2 linked regions of the Arabidopsis thaliana genome follow. The protein of the gene in region 1 interacts with the protein of each later gene in a pairwise test. Each region holds a gene or a part of one and is shown on either strand. Other genes may lie near its edges.

Region 1 (3,803 bases):
AACATGTTGATATCACCGCAAGGTTGTACTAGTACAACCACAATTAGTGGCATGAGAATGTTTCTGCATTTTGGTATTGTTTCATATTTGACAGTTACTGTCTGTGTTCTGATATTGTTTCATATTTGATTGTTACTGTTTCAGAAACATATATTTTGTATGGTTAACGTGGAACCACTCGGTTGTTCATTTTCTACAAACAGAGAGGAAAGAAACAAGGTGGAACCTGAAGAAGACGGCAAGTATGAAGGTGGAAGATGGTGTGAGGTTGCTGATAGCAGAGGTAAGAGTTGGGGAACTATATTCAATAGCTTTACAACCAGCTACCTGTATGGAAAGTGAAAGTGCATGTACTGCTTCATACTATCCAACTAATAACCATAAAAAAGCTGGAGATAATTCAGATTATTATAACATATAACTGGTGTTTCCCAATGGAACACATATGCTTAGTTCTACTTATACAACTAACACACACATACACAGTTATTGCTCTGTTGAGAGTCTCTATTGGAAATTTGAGTTTATTATGCATAAGAGAGAAATCAGAAATAGATCATAAGACTGGCTTTTAGTAATTAATGTTTCTAGGGATGATGATTCAAAATTTATTACAATATTAGCTGAATACAGAACAACAACACACCTAAGAACAAGACATTAGACACACAGAATTAATCATAAGAAATTAACAAAAGTCTGCATAACCGTAACCATAAAGTTCATTCTGCATCAACTGATTCAACCAGGGGTTATTCACAGATTCTTCTACCGCCGAGTAATGTTGTGTGCTTGAGACGCAAGGATGTTCACAGCTGTTGCTATTGATGTTACCCACAGACATGTTATGATCACAACCATAAAACTCCTTGTGCATCAACCCAAAGTTGTTCACAGATTCTTGTACTGAGACGCAAGGAAGTTGAAAATTGTTGTTGGTGATGTTACCCATCCACATGTTCTGATTCTGATCATTACCACAAATCTCCTGCTTCATTAACTGATTCTTCAACTCAGATTGTTCAAGTAACGCTGAGAAATAATCCTGATTGAAATTTGATGCAGAGACTGGGATCTGAGACAGAGTATTGTCTCCATGATTATACATAAACAGCGAGAACTGGCTAGGGTTCAAAGATTGGGTCTGATGATTCAGAGAGGATGATGCTAAACTGTGGTGATCCGGTTGTGTCTCATTCTGTTTCCGCGACTCAAGAAATTCAAGCCTTTCGTGGAATTTAGAGACATGGAGTTCCAAGGACTGAATCAGTGGAGAAACTTGGTCGGGAGGGTAATGATCAGCGAGTGGATACTTTAAAACATTCACCTTCTTAAGACTCGTCTTCCTCTTCTTGTCCGTATTCTTCAAACCCTTGTTCTTCTTCTTCTTGTTCAGGAACCCATGAAGATTAACGCTTTTCTTGCGTCTCAATGCTTCGTTTAATTGACTATACCTAAGAGCAATGTCTCTCACTTTCTCTCGCTCCGGAGGCCATGTCTTGAGTTCTCCGTCTGGTCCGTAATAGATGACGCAGGCTTCAATATCACAGAGAGTGCAAAGCTCTGAAGCTTTCTTGAAGATGGTCTCAAGTCTGTTGCTCAAACTTGTTGAAGCGAGTGAATAAGCGGAAGAGGAAGAAGGTAAAGATGATCGCATAGTCATTATTGTTGATTTCGAAGACAAACTTTCTGTTTCAGAGTGAAGAGAAAACACGAAGACAAACTTTGGCGGCTTTGTGAAAAAGATGAAGAAAGTGAGAAGGAAACTGTGTGAATTAGAGATATATTTTGATCACTAGGGTTTGAAAAAATATTTATCACTCTCGCTGATCGGTGAAAAAACGCGTAAAGATATGTGTGTGTGCGCTTTTTTAGATTCGATTTCCATATATTTGCATAGATTTTGCGTTTAGAGCCGTTAAGGGTTGTTGATAAAATGGAAATATAAGAGAAGGTTTCCTAACTGGCAATATCAGTCGTCTTACATTAATTAAAAATCCTTAACTTGAAATAGTACAAGAAAGAAAAACATACAAAATTACCATATGTACAATGTAGTGTAGCTATACGTAAACATCAATGGGGACCATCTCTTAACAGATTCCACTTGCATCAGTCACAGCTTAATGAGGCTTCTTCTTCTATGGTGTGTGAAGGCAACAAAGGGGACTGCTCAGTACCAGCCACAGTTTTGATTGAATCCTCTCTTGCTTTTCCCCAAATCACAGTGTAGAATCCTAAGCTCAAAATCAATGATCCAATGACACTACACACAATATATATGCCGGATAATTAGTACTGTCTCGAAAGAAATATTTAGAAACTATATATGGCGGCTAAGTGTGACTTGTGACGAATTAAAACCAGAAACCATATAACTCTCAATGTAATTCCATGGATAGATACATGGCACTAAAGCTGAATGTTATGGCACCTAGATATTAGATAATATGTTGTGTGTGATATTTATGAAGATTGTGAAAGATAAAGTACCTCCCAAGGTAAAGTGCATCGCCGAGGAACATAACACCCATAGCGACCGCAATGACAATAGACAACGGCTTGAACAAGGATATGTAGACTGGACCCTTAAGATGCAGACCCCAAGTGTGTATAACTGAGCCAAATGATGAAACTAAGCCTCCCTGAAACAGAGTGTTAGTTTCTGAGCTTAAAATATAATCATTACTTGAAGCAACATATTAGGATTGATTCTCACCGAGTACATGACTGAAGCAAGGGAGACACCCGGTTTAAGTATAAAAGAATTCAAGTCTTTTTCCGCAAATAGACATACTGGTGCCGAGATAAGCGTAGCGCATAAGTTATACAAGAATACTACAGTTATTTCTTCAGGGTATAACTCCATGACCCGAGTCTGAAATCATATAGAGCTACCACATTTAGCAAGAGTTATATAAGTGTCACCAACATATCCAATGTCCTTTTTCATACCTGAAGAATATACCAGACTGAAACAAGCAAATACTGTGTAGCGAGCAAAAGACCTCCGATTATCCAACTCGAATCAAATGAAGTCAAATGCTGGTAAAGCGAAATGGTAGGTGATGGAGGTGTAAGAGATGCATCAGTTAGAACTTTAGGGCCTTTATAAAGAATAACAACCAAAGCACCAGATATAGATACTATCGTGCCAATGATTTTGGCCTGAGTCGCGGAGCTCCTTAAGACTATTTGTTCCATTCTTTTGAGTCACACAAGGAAGCAGTAACAACAAGAGTTAAATGTTCAGCTGATAGAAACAAACACCCCTCTAGTTTACCCATATTTCTCTCTGTCTCTTAGAACAACATGTGGGCACAACATTTTTTATGCAACCACAAGGTTGTACTTGTACTAGTGGCTGTGACAAAAGCAAAAGGCTTAAAACTTTGAACGGTTAAATAAGTGTGGAACTACCGCATTGTTAACTAAATTATCTATATACTATCCCAGAACGGAAACGAAAGAAAAAGAGGTGGAACCTGAAGATAACGGCGAGCGTAAATGTGAAAGCTGGTGTCAGATTGCTGATAGCAGAGGCAAGAGTTGGTGAACTATATTCTATACCTTTACAACCAACTATCAGAGACATGAACCTGTTTCCCAAAAGTTAGCAAACTAGAAAAGAAAAACAGGTAAATGAGGCTAAATCTGGTAGTATAAGGAGTATATCATTACCCAACAAGCGCAAGTAAGAAAATATTGAAGAAGACAGGGGTCTTGGCAGAAGGTAATCGTTTTGACCTGCACATAAACTATGTTCACATTCTTGAAATTTTTATACTGGTCAAGAGTACTTG
Region 2 (3,928 bases), about 15 Mb from region 1:
AAAGATTGAGCTTTAAAAGAGGGGCCAAGCCTGCGGCCTATTAACTGCTTCTACCAATCCTTTTTCTTGGCAAGCAAAAAAAAACTCTCATGACTTTGTGACTTGACATGCTTTCAATAGACCAAAGCAAAACTCTTAGCTTTGCATCCTCTACACTTCTTATACTAAATATCGCCCGGCGACTGTGAAGTAAAACCACCCAACTCATTTCTTAACACCCAAGCTCCCCCTACATTGCATTTGAACCAATTACAAGGTGTTTTTTCCCAAACTTTCCCCGCCATATAAACACTTCTCTGCATCACGTTTTGAATGGAATCAATTAGCACCGGTTCTTCTGCAATTTGTTATGGAGCCATTCTGCTCTATTTTGGTAAAGCTTTATCTGTTTTCAAGTTATGAAGTAATCACAAAATACTGGCCTAGATGATGACTGGTTTTGGTACTTAATAAGAAAGCAGAGACATTCCTAATCAAAGATTGTCAGACAGATGTTTTCTGTTGTAAGACTCAATATTGGTTTTAATATTATTTGTTGGTTAGATTAGAAAACATCCCACAGTTAAACAAGACACAAGTTGATACAAGAAAAAAAGAGTAGTAAGACTCATTGGTTTTAAACTTTTAATATAAGAAGAAAACATCACACATATAAAACAAGACAAGTTGATAGAAAAGACTACAAAACTTAAAAGAAAAAAGGATGGTTTCTTCATTAGTTAAGGCAAACCAAAACTGAACCGGTTTGAGTTAGATCAACATCCCAGAAATCCAATGAAGCATGGAAAATTGATTGAAGTCAAACCGGAACCTTCCTTGAGTAAAGTATCTCTAACGAAAATAAACCGAAGCAATCCTTGAAACATCTGTTATCTTGGAGGGAGTTTCAAATATCAGCAATGTAAGTCACTGAAATAATCAGAAAAGCAGAGATTATCCTCCGGTAAATCTTTTTGAATCATTAATCCTCCATCTTCAACAGCTTCAGGATTTGAGCACAGATTTTGCTTTGTAGTCACCATCGAGGCATAATCCTCCATCTCACAACTCTTCAAAAGGCTTTCATAGTTTGTCTCAAAATCAAGTAGCTGATCAAGATCTAGCTCTTGATCGAATTCATCCAAGTTTTCAGGTAAAACATTGTTCTTGTCAGAAATCATTAGCATCGTATCCTTGTCGTCCATATCAGACACGTGGATATTGTCCTCATCCATATTTTTGTGAACAACCAATTCTCTATCTTCAACAGTTTCAGAAGCAGAGACGGGGTTTTGATTCGTGGTCACCACAGAGACATCGTCCATGTCCAAGTTCATCGATAGAGCTTCAGCTGTTGACACATAATCAAATATTTCATCAAGATCAAATTCTTCAGTGTTCTTGTTAAACCCATCGAAATTCACAGAACATGATTCAGGATTAAAGGTTTGCTTTTGATGAGTTCCGTGTAAAACACCCTTCTTCTTCACGTCCTCCTCACAATCTCGTTGATTCTGCAAATCCTTCAGATCTTTCAACATCTTCGACATCGAGTCCATTGCGTCTCTCAGTTCCTCCAGGTCCTCTGATTTTGAAAGCCTCTCATCTTCCCACCAATAGTCTAACCCTAGACCTTCCCGAGGACGCTGATTCGTGAGGAAAGCGGCTACAACGTTATCAACAGAGGAATGGCCAAAGGTGTAGAAAGAAACGTTTGATTTGGAAGAGACCGGAGTGGCTATGATCGCAATTTGTGCATCGGAGAGAAGACAAAGATCAGAGGCTTTGCTATATAGACCCCTACTGCGTTTTGAGAAAGCAACAGCTCTTGAATCTTTCTTCTCTATCAGCTCTATAGAAATCTTTCTCTTCACGCCCCCCATTCTGTGTTCACGATTTCACAGACAAAGAAAGAGAAGGAGAAAAAGACAGAGAGATTTTTGTGTTAGCCTGTTGCGAAAGAATATGATATGGCTACTCTCTGTTTCTAATCGTGTATATATAGACTCTGTGTTGTTACTCGTTTCTAATCAATCGACTATATTTCCTTTTTCTGACAATTAGCTAATCAGTGATTAAACGAACTAAGTATAATTATTTTCCTTTTTTGAAAGTAATGACTCTTAAACCGCCTGAGACGAACCAAACTAAGTACAATCGATTTCCTTTTTTGAAAACTTAACTCGAAAAGCACCTGAAACTAACCATGGCTGGTTCAGTTAAACCATCGATTCTATTTCCTTTTCGTGATAATCTACTAATCACTAATTAATCCAATAAGTATATGTTTCCTTTTCCTTTGTCAAAGAAATTTCCTTTTCTGAAAGAGTGATTTAATCGAAAATTTGGTTCAGTAATAAACAGTTATTTGGTTTAGTCAAACCATCTAAATTATTAGTTTATACTAGCTTAATTTGAAGACATGCAATAATGCAAACCAACTAAAACAAACGTAAATCGAATATGCATGGCTCTATTTAGTAATTGAAGAGTAGGAAAACATTTAATTAAACCAAAGCAAATTAGACAAAATGCGAATTTTCTCTCTTGAACCGGGTTTGGTCAAGTTAAAAGAATCAAAGACGTGGAATCAACGAAACTTAAACCCTAGCTTTAACCCTCGCTCTCAACGGATTCTTCATCACCACCGCGAACACCAATTTGCCGGTGAAATCCACTTGGCTCTCCGGCGGGTACGAGCTCCACTCAAACTCTTGAACCATCCTCGACAGCATTAGCTCCACGTGTACGACCGCCATTCCAAGCCCCGGACAAATCCGACGGCCAATTCCGAACGGCATCATTTTAACTCCGGCGACTCCGGTTAAATCGGCGTCTTCTCCACCTGTTATAAACCGGTCCGGATCAAATTTCTCCGGTTTAGACCATATCTTCGGGTCTTCACTTATACCGGGAAGATAAAACTCAACATTAGCCCCGACGGGAATATCGTAACCCGCGAGATTAGTCGGCTCCGTAACGCCGTGAGTTAACGTGAAATACGTCGGTGGATGTCTCCGGAGAAGCTCCTTAACAAAAGCTTGTAAAAAGACCATTTTATTCAAATCTTTCTCCTCAACCGTTCGATCATCTCCCACCGTTGATTTAATCTCATCGTACAGCCGAGATTGAATCTTCGGATTCGATATCAGCTCCGCGATTCCCCACTCTATCGCCGTCCCCGTCGTATCCGTACCGGCGTTGAGAAACTCTGAACACAGCGTCACGAGATCTTCATCTGACGGTGACGTTTCACGACCATCAACTCTGAGATCGAATAAAGTATCAAGATACGCGAAAGACGACGCCGTTTTATCGGAGCCGAGATTTCGAATCGCTAATCGTCGTTTCTCGATGAATCCAACGACGAATTGGACAAGTTTCCGGCGAAGTTCCAGAGAATTTTTCCTCTCCTTGAAGTAAAACGGAGTTAGAATCGGAAGATAGTCGTGAATTCGTGGATCAACGGCGGTTAAAATCTCCGTCATCATCTGATCCATCTTCTCAATCGATTCTTCTTCCATTTTAACTCCGAAACACATATCTAACAAGATACAAAAAGCAGCGAATCTAGCGTTTCTTAGAACCCAGACGAGCCCGTCGTTTTCCTTAGCTTCAGATTTGATCTTCTCCACGAGCTTATCAATGGCGGATTTTCTAATTGAACCAAATTCCTTTAACCGGTTAGAGCAGAGCATGTTTTGAACCATGTTCCGTCTCAGTGATCGCCACACGGGACCGTACATAGCGGAATGAACGGTGATATCGCTAGAACTGAAGATTTTCCGGGTCGGAGTTTCGGCGGGTCGGGTTGCGAATTGGGCTCCACGTTCGATCAAGGCTTGGTGTGCGAGATTAGCGTCGGAGATGATGATCATCGTTCGAATTCCCATCTTAAGTGTGAAAATTGGGCCGTAGATGTTTCTCATCTCATCGACATATTCGAAAA

What was found.
Region 2: the proteins of AGL43 (region 1) and AGL99 interact in a two-hybrid assay, tested with the Arabidopsis thaliana proteins (one large-scale study listed by BioGRID).

Annotation. Positions count from the first base shown.
Region 1 is NC_003076.8:16,077,702-16,081,504, forward strand, and holds AGL43 (AGAMOUS-like 43), read right to left. Parts: upstream 1,664-3,803; coding exon 689-1,663; downstream 1-688. Other genes in the region: UMAMIT37 (nodulin MtN21 /EamA-like transporter family protein), read right to left, coding at 2,113-2,266, 2,494-2,645, 2,720-2,878, 2,956-3,205, 3,486-3,599, 3,682-3,747.
Region 2 is NC_003076.8:1,330,759-1,334,686, reverse strand, and holds AGL99 (AGAMOUS-like 99), read right to left. Parts: upstream 1,929-3,928; 5' UTR 1,863-1,928; coding exon 894-1,862; 3' UTR 765-893; downstream 1-764. Other genes in the region: CYP77A9 (cytochrome P450, family 77, subfamily A, polypeptide 9), read right to left, coding at 2,580-3,928.